Ovis aries: one gene and its partners. The protein of the gene in region 1 interacts with the protein of each later gene in a biochemical or structural test. Links are inferred from orthologs where the notes say so. Each region holds a gene or a part of one and is shown in the gene's direction. Other genes may lie near its edges.

Evidence for each region.
Region 2: the proteins of DOK1 (region 1) and FGR form a complex in vitro, tested with the Homo sapiens proteins (2 studies listed by BioGRID, with this or other methods). The link is inferred for Ovis aries from reciprocal best matches to the Homo sapiens genes DOK1 and FGR.
Region 3: the proteins of DOK1 (region 1) and CRKL form a complex in vitro, tested with the Homo sapiens proteins (2 studies listed by BioGRID, with this or other methods). The link is inferred for Ovis aries from reciprocal best matches to the Homo sapiens genes DOK1 and CRKL.

The regions. Positions count from the first base shown.
Region 1 is NC_056056.1:96,402,187-96,412,304, forward strand, and holds DOK1 (docking protein 1), read left to right. Parts: upstream 1-3,536; 5' UTR 3,537-3,543; coding exon 3,544-3,603; exon of another isoform or gene 3,604-3,736; coding exon of another isoform or gene 3,737-3,778; intron 3,779-3,952; coding exon 3,953-4,252; intron 4,253-4,396; coding exon 4,397-4,490; intron 4,491-4,702; coding exon 4,703-4,887; intron 4,888-5,115; coding exon 5,116-5,925; 3' UTR 5,926-6,338; downstream 6,339-10,118. Other genes in the region: LOXL3 (lysyl oxidase homolog 3), read right to left, coding at 813-1,116; M1AP (meiosis 1 arrest protein), read right to left, coding at 7,387-7,569, 8,499-8,639, 9,729-9,935. UniProt on the Homo sapiens protein: DOK proteins are enzymatically inert adaptor or scaffolding proteins. They provide a docking platform for the assembly of multimolecular signaling complexes. DOK1 appears to be a negative regulator of the insulin signaling pathway.
Region 2 is NC_056055.1:239,412,888-239,423,005, forward strand, and holds the start of FGR (tyrosine-protein kinase Fgr), read left to right. Parts: upstream 1-5,002; 5' UTR 5,003-5,692; intron 5,693-5,884; exon of another isoform or gene 5,885-5,990; intron 5,991-10,118. UniProt on the Homo sapiens protein: Non-receptor tyrosine-protein kinase that transmits signals from cell surface receptors devoid of kinase activity and contributes to the regulation of immune responses, including neutrophil, monocyte, macrophage and mast cell functions, cytoskeleton remodeling in response to extracellular stimuli, phagocytosis, cell adhesion and migration.
Region 3 is NC_056070.1:72,318,456-72,328,573, forward strand, and holds the start of CRKL (crk-like protein), read left to right. Parts: upstream 1-5,192; 5' UTR 5,193-5,594; coding exon 5,595-5,905; intron 5,906-10,118. UniProt on the Homo sapiens protein: May mediate the transduction of intracellular signals.

The DNA.
Region 1 (10,118 bases):
CAGCTATTCCTCCTTGAAATGTGGCTTCCAATCTTTTACATCCGATAGCTCTCCTCTGAAAGTACTTCCATTTCCAGGAACCTAAATTCCCTATTCAGGGATTAAACCTGTGCCCTCGGGAGTGAAAGTGCAAAGTCCCAACTACTAGACCACCAGGAAATGCCCAGTACTTCCATTTTCTATTGTCTCTTTGAAAATGTGGCATCTAAAGTGATACTTTATTCCAGATGTGGTCTAACCAGTGGGAATAGGGGGTTAACTGCAGATTGCGCCAGCTCTACCGATCCCACTGTGAGTTTATACAATGCAAGTGCCCCCAGGTCTCAGAATTGCTCCTAAGCCCCTACTAACCACATCCTAAAGTTTATACTTGTCTTTGGAAGCCAAGCTTGTCGGTTTCAGCTCTAAATTATAATCTGATCTTGTTGGCTGCAGTATCTGCGATCACTTCTGTCTCTGGGACATCCAGATGTCAGTTACCTGCTCTCAGCTTCCCATGAAACCAGCTGTTCTTTAATCATACAGGGCTCCTCTGTGTCAGGGCTGTCTTTGCATGTGGCTTTGTAGAATCATACTTTTGCAGAAGAAAGTAACTTACAGACCATCTAGTCACTTTGCACATGGAGGCATCTGAGGCTCAGAGAAGGCATCGATCAGCCTAAGTTCACGCGGCTTTATGTTGGTTGGTTTCCCCTCCACGGGTGTACTTGACACTGGCTGTTCTTGGTATTCTGTGTCCCCAGGGCGGTTCCCTCCCCTACATTTAGGCTGTACTTTGGCAGTACCTAGGCTGTGCCTGAAGCATTGCTCACCTGTTCCAGGGCCATATTTGGCACTGTGGGTCCAGCCTGTGGCCTCTGTGAAGCCCAGCTCCCGGCATAGGACATGAGCAGCCTGCAGCGTGAAGTCATCATCGCAGATGGTGCCCCATTCACCAGCCCGCTGTATCTCCACGCGGCCCTCGAATGGCTTCCTGGGGAAACCAGCCAGCCGAAACCGCAGCCCCTGGCTCCCGGCCCTCTTCTCAGGTGCCGTGGACGGGGTTGGAGATCCCAGGCACAAACTGCACAGCAGCAGCCCCCACAGGCTCCACTGCCAAACACTGACAGGTCCCATGGCAGGGAAGGCCTGGGTGCCCCAGAGAGAGAGAAGCTGAAATTGAGAAGCCCAGGTCTCAGAGAGAGATCATGAGAGAAGAGACACCGGCTAAGACCAGAGACAGAGGGCCAGTGTGACAGAAAGGGAGGGACCCAGGGGCTGAGAGAGACAGAGAGAAATCCATCCTAAATAAGAAGAGAGATGCAGAGTAACAGAGGCACAGACTGAGACGCGCAGACTGGGGAGGGGGGGCGGGTGGGAAGAGAGAGAGAGAGAGAGAAGGCTCTCCCTCCCTCTGTAAAGAATAAACGCTCACTATTAGTTGTTATGTCTCATAATGTCCTTTCCCTGGTTCTGCTATCATCACCTCTGTCCCGACTCACAGGTCAAGGACACCCAGTGATCAAAAGACAGAGATTAGAGACCGAGATCAGAGGCCCATCAAGATAGATAGGTTGAGACTGAGCAAGAGACACAGAGAGGGAGACCCAGACAGACAGGATGTGAGAGGGAGGGAAACTGTGGGAATAAAAGGGGACCAAACAGACAGTAGAGAGAGAGTGTTGGAAATGGACAGAAGGGGGTCAGGAGAGAGTCTGGCACACAGAATTGGGGAGCAACTGAGAAAGGCAGGCAATGAGTAAGGAGGAGTTCAGTTCAGTTCAGTCACTCAGTCTTTGCGATCCCAGACTGCAGCACGCCAGGCTTCCCTATCCATCAAAAACTCCCGGAGCTTGCTGAAACTCTATAATTGCCTTGAGAACCCCACGAACCTCATGAAAAGGCAAAAAGGAGGAGAGGGACTGACAAAAGCCAAGGAGCAGAGGCAGGAGGGACCCAGATGATCCTGTTCAGCCAGTCAGAGAGAGGACAGATAGTTACTGATTGTGGAAAGAGGCAGGCAAGAAGGGGCTTAGGGCACCCTCAGATCTCAGGTCCCCTAAATGGCAGTCAGGCTGAGAGTCCTTTCTGGGCAGATTCCAGGTAGAAAAGGCAGAGAACCAGAATGCACTGGAGAACTTGGTACACATCCCGCATGCCCTGCAGGGTCAAGGGGCCCAGAAGGGCCAGGCCTCAAGGTGGGGGTGGGGTGGGGTGGGGTTGTCCAAGCCTCCTGCCAACACAGCCATCTCTTTCCCGGGGCAACAGGAGGCAAGAGCACTAGTCGGCTTCTCAGCTAAGGCCTTCCCTCTGTCGGGAGAACAGCTCCTTTACAGCGAGCTCCCCCTACCCCCCCACTCCCACCCCCCTACCCCATGCTTCCCCCAACTCAGACAAACAACACAACAGGGAAGCTTTGTTTGGGGACATTTTGGCTTGGGGACCTAGGGAGAGGGCCTCACAGAGGAGCCCCTAGCCTTCGGGCACTTCGGATGCCCTATTTGGAACACCCTGTAGCCCCCACTCCCCAATATCTGCTTCCTTTCTCCACTCTTCTTGTGTCTTCTTTGACTATACAACCCTCAGTAGCTTGGCTTTCCTTTGATTCTATCCTACATCACCCCTTTTCCCAGGTCCCTCCATCATCCTCTCCTTCCCACCGGGAGCGTGACTCCCCCTACCTTTGGCTGAACGGGGACCCTAGCGGCTGGGAGAAGAGTCTTGATCCTGTAGATCAATCCTAGGACTTCCAAAAAAAAGTACTTGGGAGACTGCCCCTCTTTCTCCCCCGCCCCCCCTCTTCGTTCCTCCCACGTCCCCTTGAGCCCTCCCACATTCCGCCTTCTCCCAGGATCCCTCCCAGGGCAGTTCCCTCCTCTTCTCCCCTCCTCCTTGGAGCTGGCCGCTGTCGCCGCTCAATCTCCCTCCCGCCCCCCTCCTCGCCCCTCCCAGCCTGTTTAATAAAGCTCTCTTTTCCCGCGGGTTGGGTGCCGGGCAGCTGCGGTCAGAGAGCTGGACACACAGGAGGCCATGGGGCCGTAGACTATCTCGGGCTGCGCCCCATGCGGCGACTCGGCTCCGAGCTCCGGGAAGTCTTCAGTCCCCAGCCCCAGCCCTTCCCCCATGTCCCCGGCTCTGCGGATCGTAAATAGCCGAATTCCCGCGGAGCAGGGGTCGAGTCAGGTCCGGGGAACTGAAGCCTCGAAGGCCCAGAAAGTCCCTCCAATGCCCCAGGGTGCCCGTAGGCATTTTCTAGATGATGTCACGGCCTTCACTCTGATGTCACGTTGAGCATCTGACGTTGTACGCAGCCCCCAAGCCTAAGAGCCAGAGTCCTCTGACCGAAGTTACGAGGTTTCTCTCGGTGAAGCCACTAGCGCGAGACCTAGGGCTGGGAATGGGGGTCTAGAGGTGGTACCCCTTCCCCTTCCTCTGGCCCATCTCCTTCCTCCCCTTTCTGGGTTCGCGGAGGCTGGGGAGGGATGGGAACGCCTCCCGCGAGCCCCGCCCCGCCCCGCCTCCGGGCCGCCGAGCCAGGAAGCGCGGAAGGAACCGCCGGGGGCCATGGACGGGGCCGTGATGGAAGGGCCGCTGTTTTTGCAGAGTCAGCGTTTCGGGGCCAAGGTAGTGTGGGCAGGGGTTACCGAACCCCATCCGAGCTGGAGGTGGGCGACTGAGCCCAAACGGAGGGAGGGGGCGCGCGGCGGTTAGGGGAGCGGCGCCGGGACCCGGAGAGCCCTGTGACGTTCCCGCTAAAATGCTTTGCATGTTCTTCGGAGAAGCGTCCGCTGGCCTCCGGGTATGCCTCTCTAGCCCTGGGGAGACAGAGCGGCATCCTCCTGGAGAAACTTCGCCAGCGATCGGGAAACCTTAGTGCTGAAATCGGCCCGCGCGGGTCTTTTCTTCCCCCGTCGGGGCCCGGCAGCCGGTACTTGTCCGCTCCCTCCCCAGCGTCTCTCGGCTCTTTCCCCAGAGATGGAGGAAGACCTGGGCGGTTCTCTACCCGGCCAGTCCCCACGGTGTCGCGCGGCTCGAGTTCTTTGACCACAAGGGGTCGAGCTCTGGAGGTGGCCGAGGGAGCTCGCGCCGCCTGGACTGCAAGGTGATCCGTCTGGCAGAATGTGTGAGCGTGGCCCCCGTGGCGGTGGAGAGCCCCCCTGAGCCTGGCGCCGCAGCTTTTCGCCTGGACACCGCACAGCGATCCCACTTGCTGGCGGCCGACGCGCCGTCCAGTGCAGCCTGGGTGCAAACGCTGTGCCAAAACGCTTTTCCGGTGAGGGGCCCGGGGCTGCACTGGGCCCAGGAGGCGAGGCAGGGTGGGAGCAGTTACAGCGGCAGAGGAACTGGGCTGGCTCAGACCCTGGGAATCGCGGTGAGGGAATCACAGCCTCCTTCATACTCCTTCTCTTTACCCCAGAAAGGCAGCTGGGCCCTGGCACCTGCCGAGAACCCACCCAAGCTTTCTGCCCTGGAGATGCTGGAGAACTCGCTGTATAGCCCCTCCTGGGAAGGTAGATGGCCTGAAAAGCCCCAGCAGGGATGGGGTGGAAAGAAAGGGTGTCCTAGGAGGGGAAGTAGGAAGCTCCTCAGAGCTGGCTTGTGAGAGAGAGAGAGAGAGAGAGAGAGAGAGAGTGTGTGTGTGTGTGTGTGTGTGTGTACAATCTGCTCCCTTCCCCCACCCCAGTCCCGGCCAGGTCCCAGTCTAATTGTATATTCCTTCCAGGATCCCAGTTCTGGGTAACGGTGCAGAAGACTGAGGCCGCTGAGCGCTGTGGCCTGCATGGCTCCTATGTGCTGAGAGTGGAGGCGGAGAGGCTGACTCTTCTGGCCATGGGGGCCCAGAGGCAGATATTGGAGCCACTCTTCTCCTGGCCCTACACTCTGTTGCGTCGCTATGGCCGTGACAAGGTACGGTGCTGTCAAGACAGGACTGGCTGACTGGGTTGGACACCTGTGGGAGGAGGGGTGGACAGGAAGGTGGGAGACTGCACTCTAGATAACTCTTTCTTGCCTAGACCATGACCAACCTCCCTTTCCAGTGGTCTCTTCTTTGTAGGTCCCCTAACTAGTTGTAGCCCTGTGACTCACCTCCTCTGATGGCTGCTGGTAACGTGTTTCCCTCTACATCCTCTTCAGGTCATGTTCTCTTTTGAGGCTGGCCGCCGCTGTCCCTCCGGCCCTGGAACCTTCACCTTCCAGACGGCACAGGGAAATGACATCTTTCAGGCAGTCGAGACTGCTATCCACCGACAGAAGACTCAGGGAAAGGCTGGCCAGGGGCAGGATGTTCTCAGAGCTGATTCCCATGAAGAAGTGGCGGACGGGAAGTTGGCTTCCTCCTCGGCCCCTCTGGAGCTCCCAGGCAGCCCTCCAGCCCTGTATGCTGAACCCTTAGACTCCCTGCGCGTTCCTCCAGGCCCTTCCCAAGATTCCCTGTACTCAGACCCCTTGGACAGCACCCCTGCTCGGGCAGGGGATGGGACACAGTTAAAGAAAGCTCTCTACTGGGACTTGTGTGAGCATGTGCAGCAAAAGCTGATAAAGGCCAAGTTGACAGACCCTAAAGAAGACCCCATTTATGATGAACCTGAGGGCCTGGCCCCAGCCGCTCTCCGGGGCCTTTATGATCTGCCTCAGGAGCCCAAGGACGCATGGTGGTGCCAGGCTCGGGTGAAGGAGGAGGGCTATGAGCTCCCCTACAACCCTGCCACGGATGACTATGCTGTGCCGCCCCCTCGGAGCACAAAGCCCTTCCCAGCTCCCAAGCCCCAGGGCCTGGCCTTATCTGAATCTGGTGCTGCAGCTGGCAGTGGCAGCCAAGGCCGTAGCTCAGACACTGCCCTGTACAGCCAGGTCCAGAAAAGCGGGGCCCCAGGGAGCTGGGACTGTGGGCTCTCTGGAGCAGTGACTGACAGCACTGGGGCCAAGTCAGAGGGTTCCACGTGAGACCTGGGCGAAGCTGAGGCTGCTGACAGGAGGACCATGGGGAAGGAGCATGGGGTCAAAGAAACCTGTTAGAACCAGCAGGAACCAGAGGGGCCTGTGTGCAGAGACCAGGTTACAAGGGGAGTCAAGGGAAGGACGATCTGTCCCAAGAAGTCATGGAAGTGGGACAGAGTCATAAAGGGGCTCAGGGATGGGATCTGGGGGAGGCCAGCACCTCTAAGTCATCCCCACCAAAGGAAGGGATAGCTGCTGGAGCACAACTATAGAAAAGGGTATTTGGTCAGAGGAGGTGTGGTTTGAGAGGCTTGTATGCTGTGTCAGGATCCCTCCCCCTTCATTGTTCTTTACCATATATATATATATATTTTTGGCGGGGGTAAGTTTTATTCTCATTAAAGTCAGTTTGGATTTAAGAGGTCTGTGTCTGTGAACAGTCATAAAAGGGACAGAGAGGCAAGATGTGTTGGGCAGACATTAGGAGAACCAGAAAGGTGTTGGGGGCCACTGAAGGAGGAAAAGGCCCCAGGGAGGGGGTGACCATTCAGAGTCTGAAAGGTCCAGTTAGGCCCACCTGGGGTGGGTGGGGCCCTGGGCATAACGTTGGTAACCCTCAGTTTCCCCTGTTGCCCTTAGGTAAAATGGGAAAGCGTAATTATAGGCACAATCTCACAGGGTTGTTTGTATGGAAGGAGCTAAATTTCTCAAGTACTTAATTGATTTGAAGTGCAGAATAAACATTTTACAAAAGGTAGTTATTCTGTGGATGGACAAGGCTGCTGGGCGGGTGTGAGGAAAGGGGAACAGGGAGGGAATAGGCCTTTTTCATACCACCCTCTCCCCTGTTCTCAGCTCTAGGATGCCCCCCTCCCCTTGTCTCTCTTTCTCTCTCTCTCTCTCTCACACACAAACACAGTTTGCATGTAGCTAGCAAGCACCAGCCACTTTTCTGTTTGAAGGCTGATGGGACTTGCAATGTGATGGGAGGGGCACAGGCTTTGAAATGAAGCTTAGATTTCACTCCTGCTTGTTTTTCATGAGCTTGGAAAACCTCATCCTTCTCTCCTGAGGTCCAGTTTCCTGAAGGTGACCTGACATCATCCACCTGCTTACACAGAACTACAAGGAGAAATTTGGGTCTGGGAATACTCCTAACAACGGTAGAGACCTACTGGGTATTTATTCTTCATTTGTGTTAACAGTATCAAATGATCCAAAAAAAAAAAAAAAGTCCCTTCTTAGAGAAAGAAGAGGGTCAGAAGGGTCTCCTCATAGCCTGAGGAGTGGGGTGCTGAAAGCACTGGAGGCAGAGGAGGGGAAGGCTCTGTTTCCCAGTCACCTGGAGCTCGCAGAGGGTTAGGTGGACAGAAGGCAAGTCTGGCCACAGAAAGCCACTGTGGGACAGATCTGGAACCTTGGCATGGATGTGCTTTAGCAGGGCAGTCGGGCTATGGCGCTAGTGACTTAGGGCCCTGAGGGATACTCCTCCTCTGCCTCTTCTTCCTCCTTCTCTTCCATAGGAGGCTGGAAGAAGACTTCTGAGGAAGCTTTGCTGGCTGCTGGCATCTTGGGGGCTCTGCCAGGGGCTGGAGTCATATGCAGAGGGGCCACTGTAGCTCGCACTCGATTTATTTGTAAAGGCTCAGCCTGCAGAGAAAGCAAGAAGAGCTCTCTGTGAAGACTAGACTAGTCCTGATTTCCTATCCCATTCCCTGCTGGGTCTCCAGTCCTAACTCCTTCTTGGGTCCCATGAGTGACAGCCTCAAGGCCCAGAGCAGCGGAGTCCCCGTGGCTCTAGCCTCCACAATGCTTGTCTCCTGGCTGAGTGTCCTCCTCTGTTTGCTTGCCTACCAGCTAACTTATGGTGGGTTTTATTCCCACCTCTAGACTGTCTGTAGTTTGGAAACCTCTTTCTCTTGTAACTTCAGATAAAACAAAAGTTTTTTCCTACAGGCTTTGTTACTGAGAAACAAGGAAAAGATTTATAAGAGCACAAAAGGAAGCCCATATACTATAGAACATGGATTTCATTAAAATAAATCCTCCCCCCACCCCAATTCCTCTTCTCTCTTGAACTCTTGTCACTGGAGCCGTGTCTCTAAGCTTCTAACCTTGGTCAGCCTCCCTTTCCTCATCTGTAAAATGAGCATAACACTTACCTTGTAGGGATGCTGTGAGGATTAAATCAGAAAAATATATGTGAGAGTACAACTGTTGCTTCGTAAATACTAATTTCCCTTCCTTTGGGCATTTCTTATCCCACCTTCTTTCAACAGAGGCTGCGGTTGTGGTTCCAGTGCAGCCAGTTTGCTTAGTGGGACAGTGATCTGTTAAATGACTACTGAATTTCCCAAACACCTCAATTAAGATAACTAAATATTTATGTAAATGCCCAAGCAAAAAAGTCCCAGTACTGCGTAAGGGTTGTAATTTTCTTTGTCTAGGGCAAAAGGCTTCTCTTCCCATTGATCTTCCCATTGGTTGTTCCAGAGGAGATCAGGGAGGATCTCCCTTGGATGGGGGACAGGGGAAGAGGACTTTGGCATTCTGGGCATAACAGGGAAGGAGGGAAGTACCTTTCTTACAGCCCGGCTCTTCGAGCTTGGGTGGAACCGGCCATGAGGGTTGGCAAAGGTGCTGCTCAGGTGTGAGTACAGGTGGCTCCAGACTTGCAAGGGGTTGTAGGTGGATTCTAGTTCCAGGTCATCAAGCATGCTCTGAAGAAGAGAGAGGAGGCACCTCACTGGGAAACGCGAGGTCACAGAACCCAAGATGTCAGGCAGAGACCTGAGCGTGAGAAGCTGAGGAGGTGTGATGGCCCCAGGCTTCACTGAAGGGTATGAGAGAGATGCGTGTCCTCCTGGGTGTTCGGGCCCCCAGGTCTGAGCGCTTGTGAAGTGTCAGGCAGGGGTTCAAGAAGTAGCAGCAACCGAATGGTGAGGGACACGGAGCATTCTGGCCCCAAGAACCATGTCACAGGATTCTGAGGGGCCAGAGTGCCATGAAGGTTACAAGGGAGCCAGTGTGTGAGGCTGTGAGGGAGGGAGAGTCGGGGGCTGAGGCGCTAAGCCTGTAAAGCAAGCACATGGTGTTCTCGGCCTGTGAGGCGAGCATAACCGGAGGATATGCGAGCAGAGCATTCCTGAGCAGTCAGGTTTTCCGGCCACAGCATCCTGTGCCAGGAAACAACTGGCCCTGAAGTGAGACACTGAGTGAGCCACGGCCACTCGTGCCCACCTCTCTCGCATCCCTGTGGCTGCCAAGCCAAGAGCACAATCCCAGGCTCTGTCCTCTCAGCACCTAAGCCAGGAATCCAGCAGCAGGGGTGTGGTTCCAGTTCTCTGCGCCGTGAGCCCCCCTCCCACCCTCAACTGGCGGAGCTGGCAGAGGAAGTCCAGAATCCAAATCCAAGATGAGAGGAGGGGAAGGAGAAAAGTGGCCTTTAGAGCTGTTCCCTCCTTGGCATCATAGTCTCATTTTAAAGCTCTTCCTATTCTCAGCGCCTATATTGGCTGCCCTTTCCTCTTTCTCTCAGAGACAGAGGCATACAAACATAGGCACACACACATGCATTCAGAGGTTGCAGAGAAGGACCCATGAGAACACACCATCACGCAGATGCGTGCTTTCTTCCGTCTTGCCTCAGTTCCTTGCCTTCTTCTCTGTTCCTCTTACCATACGCTTGCAACCACTTCTCCCTCTGCTCCCGGGTCCTTTCCTTCTGGGGCTGATTCGTTTCCCTCATCCCTTTCTTGAACTCCACTCTCTTCTCTCCCCTCTATCCCAAGAGACCTGGGTTCACTTGCCTCCACAGCCTTAAGGCTGTCAGCAGGCATGTCCTCAGGTAGCAGGGGGAAAGGGCTGGGCAGCATCAGTTCCCGAGTGGCCACTGCCTTCACCAGCAGAGTGGGAGAGTGGGATGGCAGGATCACGTAGAAGGTGCTAGCGGGCTCTCTCAGTTTGTGTTCTCGGTTCAGGGGCTCTCCCTTGGCTAATAGCAGCCATTCTCTTTTCTGAAACAAAGACATACAAAAATGTAGGCTCATCTTCAGTCTCTGACATGTTTGGAAGGTTAGTCCCAATTGCTGGCCTGTTTACTCTCCCTCCCCTCAGCTAGTTCTAGACACTTTAAAGCAGTGCCATAATTTTGTACGGCACAGAACTCTGAGGAGGTCTGGTAAGCCAGGCAGGTGGTA
Region 2 (10,118 bases), on another chromosome or scaffold:
CACAACTAGAAAAAAGCTGGATGTAGCAACGAAGACCCAGCACAACCAAAGAAATATTTTTTTTAAATATAAAAACCATTCACAGTTCATGGGCTGCACAAAAACAGGCAGAGACCATCTTTGACCCATGGTTTGCTAAGCCCTAATTGGATTTAGGTTAAGCATCTGTAACAAGAATTCTTCATAGTGATGGTGATTATCTAACAGTTATCGAAGGAGGAGTCACAAGGGCCAACTTACACCAGTTACGGGTGAGTTATGGGATGTCCACCAAATCTCTCCATTGAAAAGAGAGAGCCTCTTTGCAAAAGCCCGGTCAGCTGTGCAGGACTCCTGCACCCCGTGAACACTGTATTCTTTACAACCTTTCACCTAGGGACCTCCCCATGGTTAAGTGGTTAGGAATCTGCCTGGCAACGCAGGGGACACGGGTTCAATCCCTGGCTGGGGATGCTCCCACATGCTGCAGAGCAACTAAGCCCCGTGCACCACAACTACTAAAGCCCATATACCTTAGAGCCCGTGCTCCGAGACAAGAGAAGCCACCACAACCAGATGCCCAAACACCGCCAGCTAGAGAGCAGACCTTACTCTCTCCAACTGGAGAAAGCCCACATGCAGCTATGAAGACCCAGCACAGCCAAAAAAAAAAAAAAATTTTTTTTTAATTCAAAAGAATTCCCTTTAACTAGTGTTTTTGGCACCTTCAATGCACTGAACTGTGGCCTCTGTTTAAATTCATAAGTCAAAGCCAGAACCCCAATGTAACTATCTTTGAAGATAGGGCCCTTATGGAAATAATTAAGCTTAAATAAGCCATAAGGGGCCTCCCAGGTAGCAATCCACTTGCCAATGTAAGAGACACAGGAGACATAGGTTCAACCCCTGGGTTGGGAAGATCCCCTGGAGGAGGAAATGGCAACCCACTCCAGTATTCTTGCCTAGGGAATCCCATGGACAGAGGAGCCTGGTGGGCTACAGTCCATGGGGTCGCAAAGAGTCATACACTGAGCATGCATTCATATACCCAAAGCTGTAAGGATGGGGCTGTAATCCAATGTGTATCCTTATAAGAAGAGACAGTGGAGAGTGCCTTCTCTCTCTGCCAGGTGAGGACACGGAGACGGTGGCCATCTGCAAGCCAGGAAGAGAGTTCTTACCTTGATCTAGAACTTCTAGCTTCCAGAACCGTGACAAATAAATGCTTGCTGTTGGAGCCACATAATCTATGGCTTTGGTATGGCAGACCGAGGTGACTAATGCAACATCATTGAGAGTTCTTACCTAAATCGATTATCAGTTGAGGCTACAAGATGGAGCTTTTCTAGTTCTCGCATTCCTTCTAGTATATTAGGTGACATTTTTCTACAAAGGAAAGCTTTCCTTCAAGTAGCAATGAATAGCAGCCTCTCCAAAGAAAGGCGGGATAAACGCTACATTTTCTAAGGGAAAGTTTGGAGGTTTTGTGTTTTTTGGGGGAGTGGGAACTTCTAGAACCTGTTTGTATGCTGAGAGGTTAATTCTTTGGAGAGGGAGAGACATGGTACAAGAGAGGAGGTCACAGAAGGTGTAAAGTCCTAAAAAGGTGGGAGGATGTGGAGTGCAAGTGGAGGAAGGAAGGGGAGGGCAGAAGAAACGACGTGAACTGGCCTTCTGGGTGGACGTACAGGGCCAGCTTACTAAGAAATGTGCCGGAGGATTGCTGGGCTTGGTTGCATGCATGCTAAGTCGCTTCAGTCATGCCTGACTCTATGCGATCCTGTGGACTGTAGCCCGCCAGGCCCCTCTGTCCAGAATTCAGAATTCCTCTGAATTCTCCAGGCCAGAATACTGGGGTGGGTTGCTATGCCCTCCTCCAGGAGATCTTCCTGACTCAAGGACTGACCCCACATCTCTTATGTCAGCAGCATGGGCCCGCAGGTTCTTTACCACGAGCACCACCTGGGAAGCCCGCTGGGCCTTGTTAGTGTTCTTGGAATCTGGGAGCTGTCACCCTGTCTGGCAGGTGCTTTTCTCTTCCACACCCAGAGAAGGTAGACAGTTAGACTGCTGCAGGTCTGGGGCTTTCCAGGCAAGCACCCTGGAGGGTGAGGGGTGTGGCACAGGGGCACCAGCACAGCTGAGCACGGAATCCAATATGGCTGAAAACAGAAGTGAGAGCAAGAGTGATGGCTGGATGGGAAATGGATAGGAGTGCTCAGCTGCTTGCTGGCCCTTGTGTTTAGTTTTGATTTCAGTTTTCAGAATTTATTTAAAGGAACATGCAAGCATGGGAACTGCAAGCACTGATGACAGTGGGAGAGGGTGTTCAATAGGCCCCTCCTATGGCCTCCTTGTCCTGCGCCCATCGTGGGGAGCAAGGGCCACATAGAGGGCAAGGACTGGACCTGACTCCTGTTCGAGCCTCCACCACCCAGCCTGGCACAGGCTAGTGACAGGGAAAGTTGAGTTTGATTGACTGAATGAAAGAATGATAGCAAACACTTGATACAGCACTTACTATGTACAGGTCACTAGTACAAGTCACTTACTGTGTATGAGCACACTGATTTCTCCCAAGACTCCTGTAAGGTAGACACCCCCATTTTACAGATGAAGACACAGAAGCACAGAAAGCTAAAATAATTTGTCCAAAGTCATGCAGCTAGAAAGAGGCAGAGCTGATCTACAGACCAGGCAGTCTGGGCCCAGAGAGTCCGTATTCCTCATCATCAGGATATTCTGAATGGATGAATGTGAGTCATAGAATCGGCTTATCTCTGTCCTGGGTGAAGCCAGGTATCTCTTGAGGTCAGAGCCCAGATCTGGTCAAGAGAGAGCCAAGTCAACCAACAATGAACTGAGAACTACTCTGTTCTAGATTGGGACACCTGCCATAAAGGAGACAAACTCAGCACTAAGGGCAAGAATAAAGGGACCTCCTTAGCCTACGTGGTCAGGGAAGGCTTCTCTGAAGAGGCGGCACTTAAGGTAAAGGACAGAAAGGAGCCAGTGCTGTGAAAAACAAGGGAAAGAGTGTTCTAGGAAGAGGAAACTGCATATGAGAAGATCTTGAGGCAAAAAGTTAATGTATTCTAGGAACTGAAAAAGATTGCAGTGTGGCTGAAGAGGAAGATGGCCCAAAAGGAACTTAAGAGGTGGGTAGGGGCCACGACTCTTCCGAAGCCACGAAAAGGGTTTGGATTTAGTTATTTTTCACTATTATTGAATTGTATTTTTGTTATTCCAAGCAGAATGGGAAGTAAGCCATTAGAGTTGGGTTTTTTAGTTTAGTTTTTTTTTTTTTGTCATTAGCGTTTTAAGCAAGGAACTTATGTGGTCTGATCTGTATTTTAAGAGCAGAAACAGTTCTGTTCTTCCATTCATTTGGATAGTCAGTCATTGATTCTTGGATATTTTCATTCGTTCTTTAATTCTTACATCCATTTATTTTTTCACTGGACTTTCATCTGTTTGCCCACTAGTTCCTTTGCTTCTTGATTGACTCATGCACTCCTGTACTCAGAGAACCTGCCTCTCTGTGCCAAACCTTGCCCGGACTCCAGGGGCCTTGCCAACAGCCAGACACAGTCCTTGCCCTTGAGGAAAACATATTCCACACCCCACACCCCAGGAACCAGTGGTCACCAAGCAAATGATGCCGAGTGCTCTGCGGAAAATCAGAAGCCAGCCTTTGAAGGATGACAGAGCCTGATAGATTGGGGTGGGGGGTCCCCAGGGGCAGGGACCAGTGCCCTTCACGTCTGTGGTCCCTAAGCCTGACACCTGACCGGCAATGATAAATATCTGTTTGTTAATTGAACAGGTGGAACAATGGTCAGGCAGGAAGTACTTGATGGTGGGAGGTGATAGGGTCCAGCCAAGGTGAAGCCACCCTCCCCAAGTCCCTGCACCTCCAGCTCCTCCCCTGTGCCTTCCTCCCCACTCTTCCTCCAATATGAAAGGCATTCTTACCTGTACCCGACTGTTCTCTGCTGCCCCGCAATCATATTGAGACAATTCACAGGCATCCCTGCTCACACACAGAAACACACATGCCTACATAATGCGTCCCTGTTGTTGATTCTAAAATTGCAGTCATCGTGTTCATTGCCTACAACCACACACTCACACATCTGTGCTTACGCCCCCTCCCGACCTCCCCACCATATCCCAACACACATACTTCTCCACCAAACAGCCCTCCCACACACCTCATCCTCCCCTGACAAGAGAGATTCTGGTGGTCCTGGCTGAAGGCTGAAGAAGTAACAGTGGTGGAAACTGAACCCCAGGTTGAGGGGAGGGGCATCGAACCCTACTAGTTGGAAAGGCTAGAACTGTTGTGATAGAAATTGCTATACTTAGTTTTTCTAAAAGTTGGGGGTGGGGTGGGGGAGGCTGACAACCTCCTGCTTGCTCAGTGTAGCGGAATGACTGATTCCTCTGAAAAGCAGAGAAGGGTCTTCTGCTGCTCCTCGCTGTCCCAGAACCTTTCCAGTGCCCAGTCTCCAAGGATGGCAGAGCATGGTGACTGGAGACCAAGTGGCTCTGGTAACAGCAGCCTTGGGTCAACTGGCTGTGAGAACTCGGGTTAAGGCCTGTCCCGGTGTGGTCCTCGAGTTTTCTCAGTTGCAAAGGCCAGAGAGCAGAGCAGTGATGGAGAAATGCCCCCTCTTAACCTCAAAGGCAATAATTCTAAATGAGCAGGTGCTTCTGGGTGTGAGGAATCTGACCCTTTGAAGGGAGTCTCGGGGAAGTCTGTGCTAAGGGTTCAGATCTGGGGAGAGGAGCCGGGGTGGGGTCGGGGTTGCGGGGGGAGGCCTGGGAAAACCGAGCAGCGGTAACTCGGGGGGAGGTGGGAAGCGGGGGCGGGAGGGCCTGGGATGTGAGGGCCCCTCCCCGCTGCCGCCGGGCAGCTGGCTTGGGGCTGGGGCGTGACTGCAAATTCTCCCCGTCGCCACCGCCACCGCGCGCCGCCGCGGCTGCAATAAGAGAAGTCCGAGGCGGCTTCCTCCTCCCTGACCAGAGGGGCCCGCGGTCAGAGGCGGGCAGCACCCCCGTTTGCTCGCCCCCACCCCTGTCGGCACTCGTGGCTGCTGGGAGCCCCGGCCGGCTAACCCCGGGGTCAGTCAGAAGCGGTCTCGCCTGGGACCAGGTAGGAGCCGTCGGGGGAGCTGGAAGGGCCGGCGGTGCCCCGCCCCCAGTCCCTTCGTGGCTGGGAAGAAAGGGGGACGTGGGGTGCGGAGAGGAAGCCCTAAACCTGGGGAGGGGAGCTGACGGCGTTGAAGGCCAAAGGGTCCTCACCCCGCAAAGGACATAAGAAGGAAAACGGAGGAACTCTGGAAAGTGAAAAGCTGATACAGTCTGGGGAGAGGGCTGAGGGAAGGCCCGGAAAGTAGACTAAAAGGGCTCCCCCAAAAAAGACCTGGTGGGAACCTGCAAAGACGAAGCTGGGAAAGGGCTGAGTCGGAAGAGGAAAACTGAGGGGATCCTCAAAAGGGTCTGGGTTGAGAAACTAAGAGACCTTGAAAGTGAGAATCTGGGGAGAAGCTGAGGGGTCTGGAAGAGAGGAAAGACTTTTAGGCGGGCGGGGAGGGGTCTGCCAAAAAGGAGTCAAGGAAAACCGTTTCTGGAGGACGCGGAATGTGGGTCGCAATCCCGAGGGTCCAGGAAGCCCCTCTATCCGGAATCGGCAGAAGTCGGAGGTGGGGTGAGGCCAGCGGCCGGGAGGGGAGGGGAGGCTGTCACAAGCGCCCCCCTAGAAGCTCCAGCCCGGCACAGGTGGGCGGGTCCGGGCTGGCGAGGGGACTCCTGCAACGCGCAGGAGGCGTGGGTCCTGGTTTCCTGGGGAAGTCCCCGCCCTCGGCAGGGATGGGCCTCTCTGGGTGCCCCCTCCCCTCCCGCAGCGGTGATCTCGGTCCACGTTCCTCTCGGGATCCGGGAATTGCTGGCCGCCCCGACGGAAATCCTGCCTTTGACCGCGATTGCCGGGAGGGGCTGTCTCCATGGTAACAAGAGGGCGGAGGGACTTAGCCCAGCTCTGGGCTGCCTCGGGGCTCAACGCCTGCGCTGCCCTCCGTGGTCTCCTCCCCCACCCCCATTTTGAGTCCTTAGTTCGGGGCGAGCTGCGGGGCCGAGGAGTAAGGCGAGGATGTGCAAGTGTTCAGGGATCGGGGCCGTGGGGGATCTGCAGTCTCAGGGTTTTAGCCAGACTGGAAGCTGGTTTGCTGTGTGGCTTTAGGCAAATTATGCGGCCTCTCTGGGCCTTAATTTCCTCATTTGCATTGTGTAGGAAATTATCCCTGCCCCTACCCAGCTTCCATCCCCCAGCTTATCCCCAGTCGTGGGATTCGGATAGACTAAGCTGTTTCCCCCACCCCCACCCCACCCGGTGTCCTGGGGGTAGCCTCTTCAGTTTCTCATAAGCATAGAGCTGGACCAGAAAGCCTGACAGGGCCTCCAGGGACCAAAACACAGGTGACTTCTTATAAAATAAATATTTGTGAGTCTGTTGAGGCCCCACACTGGGAAAGTCAGCCAGTTTGAGACTGTCCTTGACCCTTCCCCTTATTTATTTTTTTGGTGATTTGTGTGTGTGTGTTTATGATATAAACACTGGTTTGTCAGCAAGTTTTGCTCTTCTCAATTCCAAATAATGCAACGTGCAAGAATATGCATTTTATTGAAACTTTATTTTCTTTTTTAAAATTGTTTTATTAAAAAAAAAAAAATGTTTGGTCATGCTGCATGGCACATGGGATCTTAGTTCCCCAACCAAGGATCAAACCCATGCCTCCTGCATTGGAAGCGTGGAGCCTTAACCTCCGGACTGCCAGGGAAGTCCTGAAACTTCATTTTATTGAAACCAGTGATCCCTGAGTCTTTTGATATCGTTCCATCTGTGAGTGTGGTGGTGGGAGACCAAGGCTCTGTTCCCACTTCTCAGATGGGAAGATGGAGGTTCGGGAGTGAATAACTGACAGGTCAGCAGTAGGGACCCAGAAGCCGGGCATCCTGTCCCTGATGTGGTGACGGATGTAGACAGAACTGAAGCCTACATTCCCTCCTCATCCCTACCAAATTCCATTGCCCTCTGGAGAGGAGAGGGAAGCCGGGTTGGGGGGGGGGGGGGCGGTCAGTGGTGAAAGAACATATGGGTTTCCTGGGCTGTGTGGCTGGTTCTTGCTTTCCAGTGGGTGTGAAGCTGTAAGTGAGGGTGGAGAGTGTTTGTGAGTATGGTTTGGGCTTTGAGTGAATGAGCTTGAGCATGTGAGCATGTGTGTGGGTGTTTGGGTGTTCTCTGCAGCCACCTGGGGCTGATGTGGCAAAGGAAGTGGCCAGACCTTGGGAGGATGGGTAGGGGGACCCCGGGGCTGGGGAAAGAGGACCCAGAGCCCTTCCTGCACAGAGTCAACCAGGCTGGCTTCTGACTGGACCTGGGGAAGGGACTTCCTGTCTGGGCGTGCTGTGAAATTCAGACTCCTACTCCTTCAGTTCCCCCTGGACCAGCTCATGGCTTTCCATCCCCCAAGAATCTCAAGTCTCTCAAGATCTCTGTTTTAGAGGCTAGCGGGTAGGTTTTCAGCAACCGATGAGAAAACACTTATACCCACAAGAAGTAGAGAAAATTCAGCTGACACGGTGAGGACCCTGTGGAGGGGAAAGCTAGTGTGGCCCCTCCCTCACCCCCACACACTGGCTTTACCAAAGTGATAGAATCAGAGCTGGCTATGTCTTCTTAGCCCCTGGGTGTTAGGGGTGGGGGTGATAGGCCTGAGTGATGTGAGATGGTTGGAGGTTCTATGAGAGATGAAGGCCTCAGTGAGGGAGATGGAGGCTCAGGAAGGGCACTGGAGCCAAGGAGGGGTGGAAGGTCTCAGTGAGGAATGGAAGCCTTCATCAGAGGGTCAGGCCTTGGTGAGGGATGGGGTGCGGCGAGCCTGAGACTCAGGCCTGCCCACCAGGCCAGCCTGAAGCCCTGAGGAGAAGCCGGAACTCTTGCTGGATGGTGGTTTCCTGCCCCTGTTCAGTCCCAGTTCCCTTTTGGTGAAATCCCCCAGGCGGCTGGGCTGGCTCAGCCCTCCCACCTCACCCTGAGCACTTCTCTTTCTTCTCTGCCTCGTCACTTCTCCTTCCTCGGCCTTGGAGGGGGCTTCCTCAAGGGAAGGGGCCAGAAGTGAAAGTTCACCTAGCAACTACAGTGCCCCGGGTGCTCTCAGGGGCTTGACCACAATTGAGGCTCAGGAGCAACCCCAGGAGGCAGGGATTGAGATTCCTATTAACAGGCGAAGAAACTGCAGCTCAGCGAGAAGTGAAGCGACCTGCCCAATGTCTCAAGTCAGGTAGAATTTGAGCCGAAATCAGTTTCCAGATCCCACAGATACTTGGCAGAAATCAGGGGGGAACAGGACATCCTGTGTCTACATCAAAGCCCTGATGTGGTGTTGGGAAGCATAGACCGAAGAAAGGATGGGTGCATCTGGGGCTCCTGTGTCCAGGAGGAGGGGTGGGAGGCGGGCAGTTTCTCCGCTTTATGGCCAGCTGCCATATATATGGCAGGGGTGGTATGAGCAGTTGTCCGGGGACTGGTAGGAAATATGACATTCACCAATCAGGGAGAACATGACCCCCCTGCTCAGGCTTTGGAGAGCACAGCTGGGAACAGAACTCTGTACTTGAATTAATAGTCCTGGCTTTGAATCCCAGGTCTGGCTGTTTGACCTCCAGCAACTCACTTCCCCTCTCCACACAAGAAAGAGGTAGACTGATAAATCATCCCTGGGGGCCCTTCTAGCTTTGCTGCTTGTGATTCTCAGCCTCCCTTAACCACAGTGGCCAAGAGCCTTCCTAACAACTGCACGGAAGATACAGATGCAAAAACAGATGCTCAGAAGGCTGATGTCATTCAATCAAGGCCCCAAAACTTGGGAGGGCCACACAGAGGGAGAGATGCTGAAGGTGGGAACACCATGGTCCAGGATTGGACCTCAGTTCTGACATCCACAACCTGATCTTGACCCAGATCAGACTTTGGAAGCCAACTCCTGTCAACCAGATATCCAAGAGGCCTGTTTATTAACAGACTCAAGTCCCTGCAGTGACCAGAACACTTGTGGAGGGTCTCTGAGCCACTCCCTTTGTAAGCAGGCAACCTATATCAGCCCTGAGAAAAGAGACTTGGATTCAGATTCTAAGGGCTATTGAAAATCGGTGGTTGCTCAGAGACCCTGGGCAGGTCACTTCCCCCTCACTGGGCTGTAAGGAGGATTCAGGGTGTGTAGCACAGGGCTTGGCACTCTGTGGGGGCTCATGAAGGTACATAACTGTATTGCTTTCACGAGGACTTCAAAATAAGCAGTGCTTAAGATGGACTTTGGAGCCAAATTGCTTGGGGTTGTGTTTTAGCTTCCCCTTATTCACTGTGTAGATAATCTTTGGGAAGTTATTTAACACTTTTGTGACTCGGTTTCCTTATCTGTAAAATAGGGGTAATAATAAAACCTACCTCATAGGGTCACTAAATGAGATCAATCATGGGACTTGCTTGGCACTGTGCCAGGCACAGAGTGACGTGAAGTGAAGAGAAGTGAAAGTTGTTCAGTTGTGTCTGGCTCTTTACAGTCCCATGGACTGTAGCCTGCCAGGCTCCTCTGTCCATGGAATTGTCCAGGCCAGAATACTGTAGTGGGTGGCCATTCCCTTCTCCAGGGGAATCTTCCCAACCCAGGAATGGAACCCAGGTCTCTCGAATTGCAGGTCTTTACTGTCTGAGCCACCAGGGAAGCCCCAGGCACAGAGTAGGTGTTTAATACTTTAACGTTTTAAAACTAATAGTTATTTACCTTTCCACCCGCTTCCCCAGACTTCTGGAAGTCAAATTATGCTCCTAGGCATTGGTGGCTTGTAGCTGAGTTGAGAGCTAGTGGAAGACAAAGATTCCTGGGGGCTGTTTCCATGCAGATGCTGAGCAGAGAGGCCCCTCCGTGTTCCCTTTCTCTTTTGTCTGTCTTTGCCTCTTTTAGTTCTCTCTGTCTCAAACCCTCTCTTTCTCAGTCTCTGTCTGTCTTCGTCTCGCTGCCTCTCATTTCAGTCTCTGTTTGTCTCTTTGTTGCTTTCCGGCAGCGGTATGCTGGAGC
Region 3 (10,118 bases), on another chromosome or scaffold:
GCCTGGCGGGCTGCAGTCCATGGGGTCGCAGAGTCGGACACGACTGAGCGACTTCACTTTCACTTTTCACTTTCATGCACTGGAGAAGGAAATGGCAACCCACTCCAGTGTTCTTGCCTGGAGAATCCCGGGGATGGGGGAGCCTGGGGGGCTGCCGTCTATGGGGTCGCACAGAGTCGGACACGACTGACGCGGCTCAGCAGCAGCAGCAGCAGCCAGTGCAGGAGACATGGGTTTGACCCCTGACCTGAGAAGGTCCCACAAATCATGGAGCAGCTGAGCCCCGTGCACCACAGATACTGGGTCGGTGCCCTGGAGGCCCTGAGCCAAAACTACTGAAGCCCGTGGGCCCTATAGCGACCACCACCAAGCCATTTCCTGGCTTCTCAACAAGAGAAGCCACCTCAACGAGAAGGCCGAGCACTGCGGCTAGAGAGAAAGCCTGCACAGCCACGAAGACCCAGTACAGCCAAAAGTACGTTACATTTTGTTAAAGTCTTCATTTTCAGAAGCACGATGTCCATGTGTGTGCTAAGTCACTTCACTCATGTCCAACTCTTTGCGACCCCGCCTCGGGGAACTGCCATCACGACGTGGAGGAACCTGAAATGCGTACAGAGGGTCCTGAGGAGGAAGTGCTGGTGCTTTCCGACTGGCTTTTGAGGTTTTCATTTTGTGTGAGGAAAGGGGAACTTGGGATTGCAATTTTCTGCCTATCGCTGACATTAAAGTGATGTTCCCTGAGGCCTCCCTGGTGGTCCAGTGAGTACCACTCTGCCCCTGCCCTGCCGAGGGCCTGGGTTCAGTCCCTGGTCAGGGAACTGAGAGCCCTATAAGTTGTGTAGCTCGGCCGGTAAAACAGAATGAGATGACAGTGCGCAAAGCATTCTGACGAGCACTGACGCTGAGAGCCTAGAGGGATGTTAAGCGGGTTTGTGCCCTCCTGTGCTGTCGCAGTTAGAGGCAGCAAGATCTCATTCCCACACAGACCTGCACCAGATATATTTTCTGAGCTGTAACTACAGTTCCAGCAGAATCTTTCAGACCTTGATGCCAAGCGCAATGGAAACTTCCATATTTCAAAATCTATTTAATTGGGCAATTCAGGAGTTCCCACCCGAACTTCAATTGAAGATGATTAATCTGCAACGTATTCATAACAAAAGGCAAACGTCCAGAGAAGAATCTCGGAGAATTCTTGCACATACCATCCCACAATCTGGCTTCCCTGGGGCCTCCACACGGTAAAGAGCCTGCCTGCAGCGCAGGAGACCCAGGTTCAATCCCTGGGTCAGGAAGATCCCCCGGAGAAGGGAATGGTTTCTCACTCCAGTGTCCTTGCCTGGAGAATCCCGTGGCCGGAGGAGCCTGATGGGCTGCAGTCCACGGGGTTGCACGGAGCTGGACAGGACTGAGCAACTAACTCTTGCGCTTTCATCCCACAGTGAACATGCTCCATTAAAACTGTGCAGGGTGGGCCGCACCGTCTGGGTGCGAGACATCGTCAGGGGTGACACAGAGCCTAATTACGCCCAGCTCAGCACTGGCAGGTCAACATTTCAGCATCAGGGGACACTGATGCTGAAGCCCAATGAAGTGAAATATTATCCCAGATGAATCCCATTATTCTCACTCGCATGCTCGGGTGATGAAACAGTTAACACTCAACCACTATGATGTTCTGAACTTCCTTTTAAAAGATTGCAGAAAATTTTTCTCATCAGGTGAGAGAATGTTCCAGATTGATAAAAACGGGTGCAGATCCCCTGAGGTGTTAAGATGCTCCCATTTTCCAGGAGTTTCTCCTGGAGCCAGGGAGGAAGATCAAGAGGCTGGAGCAAGATTACATAACACTCCTCGATTTTCTTCTTTGTCCTGCAAAGCCTTAAATATTTCCTGTCTGGATCTTTAGAGGAAAATCTGGGGACGCCCGGTCTAAAGGGCTGCACAGCACTGGCCGAGAAGGGATGGGAGAGGGAATCAGCGTGCCTCTAGGGGATTTCGCTGAAGGCACTCCAGGATGCTCTGAAATCAGGAGAAACAAGACAAGCTGCCTTTCAGCTCAAGTGACACAAAAGTGGACTTTTAAAAAAACTAATTTATTTACCTACGTGGCTGTCTCGAGTCTAAGTGGGCAGCACACGGGGTCTGCAGTCTGGTGTGCGAACCCTTAGTTGCGGTCCACGGAATCTTAGTTCCCTGACCAGGGATCACTCCTGGGCCCCCTGCACTGGGAACAAAGAGTCTCAGCCACTGGACCGCCAGGGAAGTCCGAGAAAATGGATATTTTATACAAGAGGCGGCAGAGCCATTAGAACTAGGTTAGAGAATGCCAGGCGGAGCCATGACCAGACTTTAAGACACTGGAATTAAGTCGGCCAGTGTTTTCTAGAGGGGTCGGTAGAACTTCCTAACACAGCAGCCAAGCCTCGTGCAGAGATGTCCCCCTGGGAAAGAAGAGATGAGCAGGTTGATATTTTAAATAGTGCGTCATGGGAAATTATAATCGGGATTGGACATTATTTTATTAGTATCGAAGTAGCAAACTAATGGTGGGGGAGAAGATAACCAATAAGCTCCTCTTTTGTGTTAGGGAGAAAAATTTGGAAATAGACATGAAGCATGGGGGAGCAGTGACGGAGAACTGCAGGGTGAGAGGGCGAGGCGGGTCTCCAAGGATGTGTCTAACCCAGGCAGTGGTCAACCAGGGCTCGTGGAGACCACGCCTGAGAACCCCCGACCCAATCAGGTCAGCGCGGTGAGCGCGCTTGCTGCGTCTCCCCGTAACACAGGCAGGCCTCTTCTACCTTACTGTCTTTGCCAGCAAAGAATCTAGGGCAGGAAGAAGGGACAGACACTGTCCTCCCGGGTCCTCAGTAAGGCAGCAACCTGGGAAGACCGTCCGGCCTTAACCATCGCTTGCAGGGTTGGACCAGACAGGGGAGAATCAGAAGTCAGTGGGGCGGGGTGGGGGCTCCCCTGGTGACTCACTGGGTAAAGAATCTGCCTATCAGTGAAGGAGACGTGGGTTCGGTCCCTGATCTGGTAAGATCCCACAAGCCACGGAGCAGCTGGGCAGCAGCGGCACAACCACCGCGCCCTGCGCTCTGGAGCCCTTCCCTGCAGCAGGAGGCACCGCAACGAGAAGCCCGCTCGCCGCAAGTGCAGAAAAACCGTGCAGCCATGAAGACCCCGCACAGAAAAGGGAAACAAACACATAATTAAAAAGATTCCTCGGTGAGGGGACTTCACTGCCGGCCCAGTGGCTGAGACCCTGTCTTCCAAGGCAGGGGCTGCGGGTCTGATTCTCGGTTGGGGAACTAAGACCCTGCATGCCACGTGGCGAGGCCACAAAAGAGAGCTGGCGTTGAATCCTCAGTACAGAGGCAGCCTCAGGGACAGGAACCCTGGCAAGTTGCTGGAAAAGCCTTGTCAATTGAGTCTAAACTAACTATCTTAGAAGAGAGTAAGTACAATGCTACCTGGAAACCTCGGGAAGAGCAAGCTAGAGCAGAATCACAAATCTTTTTTACGTTATGGCCCCTTTTTAAAGCTTCTTGTCGTTTGTCCCCTTCATTTCCATTTCATTACCTCTTAGTGGCTAGGCTGTTTTTTTGGGGGAAAAAGTTTTTAAGCTTGTTTCAGCTGTGCTAAGGAAAAATAAGAAATTACTTAATTATTTTTATTGTGAAAAAATCCAAACATACACAAAAGTAGAATAATGTAATTAATAGCTCCCCCCGCCACACACACACACACACACACACACACACATTAGCAAAGCAAGCAAAATGGACTAACTTATAGGCAATAATTGTGTAACACTGAAATGAGTCCTGGACTTCAAAAGACCTCCCTGAGTGCCTCTTGCAAAGCATACAACCTATGATAACTTCTCTGAGATATAATTGTGTATCTTTGAGATGCTCACTAAACATTTTTTTTGTATTTAATTTTGTATCTATATGTAAACTTATGGTGATGATAATCAGTTTATGATGTAAGCAAGTCAAGCCATTAAGCTGTACACCTTAAACTTGTACAGTGCTGTATGTCAACTATCTCTCTATAAAACTGAAAGAAAAATTAATATTAGAAGATGAAAAAAATATGACAAGGAATGATACAGTCAACTGGTAAGTCAGGTTAGGATTGGAACTCAAGCCTTCCTCTTCAAATTCTGAGCTATTCAAATTGTGCCCGAAAGTAACACGACGCGAAAGTATTTGGAGGGAAGCTGAAAACCTGCTTTGCTGAGTCACAAAAGGCCCTAGGCCGTGACGATTCCCCTTGAGTTTACCCGGAAGGAACGTCAGCCATCACGCTGCGACAGTGGTCCCCAGCATCCTGGGCGCCAGGGACCCTTCCGTGGAAGACAGTTTTTCCTCGGGGCGGGGGATGGTTCAAGCGCATTCCTTTCACGCTGCACTTTCTTTCTGTTATTCTTACATCGGCTCCACCTCCCGTCATCAGGCACTGGGTCGCAGAAGCTGGGGACGCCTGCCCTACCTACAGTGCAGGACAGGCTCAGCCCAGCAACGAGATCGGCTCCCCAGGAGTCTAGAGCCGGGCTCCGATGCCCCTCTGGACAGGCGCCTCCACCGGCCGGCGGGGGCGGGGGCGGGGGGTCCCCGACAGTCATTCATTCCGCCCAGGTCTGAGATCAGCGTAGGGCGGGGCGAAGAAGCGCCAGGCCCAGGGCTGAACAAGGCGCACCAAACCCCGCTCCCGTGAAACGGACGGTCCGGCGCGGACGGGGGTGCGGCCAGGGGCCGGGGCTTCTGCGGCGGGGGTCCTGGGGGGGCCAAGGCGGCAAGGGCTCCGAGAGGACGCGGGAGCTTCGCCAGCCACCGCCTGAGCACCCGCGGCGGTCGGCCCCGCCACCCCCTAACCTGGCCGGCCCGGCTGCGCACGGCCCGGGGCCGCGCCCGGGGGCCGGGCCTGGCCCGCGCCGCCCGCTTTGTTCCCGGAGCGGGCTCCAGAAGCGCCGCCTCCCCGCAGCGCCCCCCGGCGGGCCCGGGAGGGAGCGCGGCGCCGCGCGCGGGCGGCGCACGCCCGCCCTCGCGATTGGCCGCGCGGCGTGACGTCACGGGGCGGCGCCGGCGGCCGCCGGGAGCGGGCGCGCGCGCGTGCGCAGTCGCGGGGCGCGGGGGGGGGCGGGGGAGGTGGCCGCCGCTGCGCCCGCGGCCGCCATTTTGTTGCTGTGGCTCTCGGGAGCGGGGCAGGGCTCGGCGGCCCCGGCGGCGCGGCGCTCCCGGGCGGTGTGCGGCTCGGCGCGGCCGCGGGGCTCGGTGCGGAGCGGCGGGGACGCGGGGCCGGCCGCGCGCCGGGGCCAGGGCTGAGCGGAGGCGCCGCGAGCCGCCCTCGCCGCGCTCGGCCGGGCCCGCGCCCGGAGCCGGCTGGGCCCGCGCGGCGGCCCCGGAGCAGGCCGGCGGCCCGGAGGATGTTGCGGGCCCGCGGCCGCGAGGAAGGCGCGGGCGCGGGCCTGTAGGCGCGCGGTGAGCCCGAGGCCCGGCCGGCGCGCAGCCGCCGCGGGCGGGGCGCCCCCAGCGCCGGCGAGAGCGGCCCGCCCGGCCCCCCGCGCGCCGCCCGCCATGTCCTCCGCCAGGTTCGACTCCTCGGACCGCTCGGCCTGGTACATGGGGCCCGTGTCCCGCCAGGAGGCGCAGACGCGGCTCCAGGGCCAGCGCCACGGCGTGTTCCTCGTCCGCGACTCGTCCACCTGCCCGGGGGACTACGTGCTGTCCGTGTCCGAGAACTCGCGGGTGTCCCACTACATCATCAACTCGCTGCCCAACCGCCGCTTCAAGATCGGGGACCAGGAGTTCGAGCACCTGCCGGCGCTGCTGGAGTTCTACAAGATCCACTACCTGGACACCACCACGCTCATCGAGCCGGCGCCCAGGTGCGCGGGGCCGCGGGGCTCGGCGCGGCGGCGCCGGCCGGGGGCGCCGTGGGTGAGGGCGGTGCGTCGGGCCCGGCAGCTCGCGCTGCGGGCGCCCAGTTGGAAAAGGGGCGCTTTCTGCCCTTCGTCGCGTCCTCGGTGCAAATTACCTGCTGAAGCAGGGCGTTGCTCCCGGTCTTGCAGCCGGTTTGGGGCCACGGGTTGAGACTCTGAAGCTAGTCTTCGGCTCCCCGCCCCGCGGGCCCCTCCCTGCCCCCCGCCCTCCCGAGTTTGCACCGCTTTCAGGGTCTCTGAGCTCCGGGGTTGGACCTCCCGGACGGCAGCCTTTGGAAACTCTAGAGATGGAAATGCCTTCGCAGGTAGAAACGAAATGCCTTTACCTGTGAAATATCAGGGCCATATATTGATAGCCTGGTGCCAGGGTTGAAATAAGCCAGGCGTCTGTTTTATAACACATTAACTGAAAATACTGTAGAAGAGGTCGGCTTGAACGAGGAATTTTTTTTTTTTAATAGATTTCCCCCAAGCTGGGCCTTTAATGGACTGGAAATCCATTTGGTTAAATTCCAAGGTGGAATGAGTCTAGACTGTTACTAAGAGGAAATTTTGAATGACACTCCACTGAAGATTCTACGCTAGTTGAATTTCAGATGTCCTTTTTGTACTGAGTTGCATGACTTAGTATCTATTTTAAAATAACCCAGAGTGACACTGAGCATTGGGCATCCCTTTTCATTTGGGCTTCATTATTGGCCTTAATATTTTGCTCGAGGCTTCTTTTGTGCAGATTATGCAAAACTTGAGCTAAAGAGATGGCGTAGGGTTTTAAAAATAAAAGGTATTGATCTTTTCAAGCGTCTGCTTAGAAAGGACAGGGTGCTAATACAGGTTTTTTTCAGGGTGAGATGGTTCTGACTTGATAGATCTGCTGACAAGATAGTAGTCTCAGCTCTGAACATGAGAAGCTGTCGTATTAAAGGGGGACGCACTGGATGCTTCTGTGGACTAGAGGTAGAGAAGAATGAAGCCCTCGCGGTGTAATGACCAGGAGGTTAACTGCTGAGCTAAATGGACTTTAAAAGCTGGGAGACAGGGATTATAAATCAGATACTGCGTAACAAAGGCCTAGCCGCGGCGAGTCTGACTGGCGAGGCCTCCAGGTCCCCGAAGAGCCTGGGAGCTAGAGGCAGCGCTCAGCACAGTGTGATTCCAGCGTGAGAGGCTGGGGGCTCTCGGCTCCCGCAGTGGTGAGGCTTCAGCTGCGTTCGCGTAACTGGCTCTTCTGGCTTGTGAAGGTGACTGAGCGCTCTCTCGGGCACTGACTGGGCCTCGCCGCGCGCCTCAGTGCAGCCGTGAGGGAGGGACTCGAGCCCCTCTGGGTGGAGAGAAAGGGGCGCGGCCCTGGCTTCCCAGTGCCCGCAGCCGCCACCCCCAGCTTTCCCTTCGTGCTGCTTCCCAGATGCCCGTCCTCACCCTCTCCCGCCGCCTCCAGGGAGCCCGCGCTACACGCCCACTCGCGCCGGAGGACCTTTGCTCGGGCCCCACCCGCCCCTCACCGGGCGCGCCTCCCTGCCCTTGGGGCCTTTCCCTGGCGCTGCCCCCGCCTCCAGTTGAGCTTTGCTGTTTCTCCGCCCGCTGCCCCGGGCGTCCCGCTGCCGTCGAGTTTTCCTTCCCCTGGTGTCTCCGAGGGCTGCCGCTGCCCCAGTTGAATGAGATCCTGGCAGGATTCACTTGGTCACACTGAACCTGGATCGCCTCTCCCGGAGCCAGAAACCCGCGGATCTGTGTGATGCGCTTATTACTCAGCTAGTGTAGAAGACAAGGCCGGGCCAGCTTTGGCCAAAGGCAAAAATCAGGGCCGTGTGCTTCCACGCCCCAGGCAGGATGGATGAAGTGGTTAGGCTCTTTCAGGCCTCAGAACCGAGCTCCTGAAGCCAGAGCTTCTGCGCTTTGGCTAATAGTTATTTTTTGGGGTTCATTTTGCTCAGTAAAAAGTGACGACTTACTGGCTTCCTCAGAATTTAAGGACTGATCTCTTTTTTTTGTTGGGGGAGTAGCTTTTTTTTTTTGGCCGTGCAGCGTGTGGGAGCCAAAGTCCCTGGCCAGGGACCAAAACTGAGCCCTTGGCAGTGGCAGCTGGGGTCTCAACCTCTGCACCACAGGGACGCCCCCTTAACTTCACAGTGTACGTCCTTGTCCAGACATTACAGGAGAGTTAATCCCAGGGATGCGTACTGGGAGAGAGGGGTGACGTGCTTTCTCCATCATGGGCCTTAGATGTCAGTGAGGAGACAGGCTGGAAAGTAGAGATTTAAGTAAAAGACAGCATTGGTCGGTGTGAAGAAAGTCCACGTGGGCAGGGGGTCTAGCAGGCGGGGCTGACCTGAGGCAGGAGGGTCAGAGCAGGGCTGAAGCCAAGAGGGCGCCCAGGGTGGGGAGCCAGCCGCGCCAGGGCCGTGGCTCTGCAGAGGCAGCTTGAATCGGCTGCTCAGAGGAAGGAAGTGGGGTGCCAGGGGGGAGTTTGCAGTCAGGAAGTGACCTGGGCCATTATTGCAATCCAGGTCACGGTGATGACGATTGGTGAGCTGTCCGTCCGTCCGTGCGTCCATCTGTAGTAGAGACGTTCCGCAGGCTGACTGGCAGGGCTGACGGACGGCTGTGGTTTGAAGACGGTTGCTGATGGGAGGGGAACGGAGAGGAGGAAGGAAGAGGCAGATGACTTGGTGTGTTTGCAGCTGCCTGTCCTCTGGGTTGTCTTGTTAATTTTGCCTTTTGAGTTGCACTATTCAGTCCTGTCTTGGATCTTACATTTAAGGTGTGTCAGTGGCTTCTGGTTTTCCAATGACAGATTTTAAAGGATTCTTTTTCCGCACACGGGTGCAGCTTGTAGGCTGAAGCTTGTTGCATAAACAGACACTTCACCTCCATCTTACTTGAGTGTGAACACTTCCAAGATTCTGTTAAGTTCTGTTCAGTGTTAGGTAAGTGCTCCTGGGTTTTTCTTTCCGTTTTAATAGAGGCTGTTTCCAGTTTAACAGCAGGGTCCAGTTTCTGAGTGGGTTCAGTTTAGAGACAGTACATTTTCCCGGGTCTAGAAAATTGGAAGTGTGCTTTGCGTAGGTCGCTTCTCTTATGAAGTTTCCGGTTCCAGCTCGTGTAGCTGTGTGATGACTGGGAGGAGGGTCGTGAGGAGCAAAGATGGGAAAAACAGAGGCGAGTTGGCTCATAGAGGCACCTCCCCACCCCCACCCCCCTGTTTTGTTGCTCGATAGATATTGCTGAGAGCACGCTCTGGTGGTACAGATCTGATGTTGCTCAGCACTCCCTGTCAGGCTCTTCTGGAGCTTCCTGGATGCTGACTTTAAAGACCGCGTCCTCTGATACAGGCAGCAGCTGTGCGAGGGCCAGAAAGGATGCCCAACCTCACCTGAGCGCCTGCCCAGAGGGGACGCTCACGGCCGCCAGGCAGAGGCCACGCCTTCTCCCACGGCCGCAACCTGGGTGTTTAAGGGGGCATTTGGGCTCGTAATTAGGAGTAGCAGGTAGGAGAGGAGCGGTAGCTGATTTCAGTTGACATAGAATTCGGCACTATGGGTAACCTTTGAGTCTCTTCTTACCGGTAGCTTAAATCCCCTGAGTTCAGTTTAGATGGGAACAGAACTGTTGTGACGCTGGATGGAACCTCAGCCAGGCGGGAGTTCTGTCCCCGTGGCGCCTGAGTGCTGACAGCCGTCTGACCTGTGACCCTTCTCTCGTTTGAGACTTGGATTCAGAGGACGTTTTATAGAAGAATGATTCTCTTGATCTGAACTGTTGGACTGGATTATTTTTGAGGTTCACTCGGGCAACAACGTTTTCCTTCTGATAAGTAAAAGGAGGCAGTGCTCTGTTAGTGGGAGTCCAGATAGGGCCTCCCCAGCGAGGTGGGGCCGCTAGTCGGGGATGCTGGCGGCGCAGAGACGAAGGGGCCCGGCAGCAAGCCCGGTGGCACACGGGGTTTCCTTGTCTGTGGAACAGACTTACCGGGGCCTGGGGGAGAGGCTTCCCTGTGTCTGTGGCGGTTTAGTTTCAGCAGGAATCTCAGTGTGTTGAGGCCTCCTCCGTCCCAGAGCGCGAGACTGGACTCCAGCCTCGTCATGGAAGTAGACCGTGACCTTGCCGCCGAGCTCAGCTCCCTGAGGGTGCCGCGGATGGCCGGCCGGGGGTCAGGCAG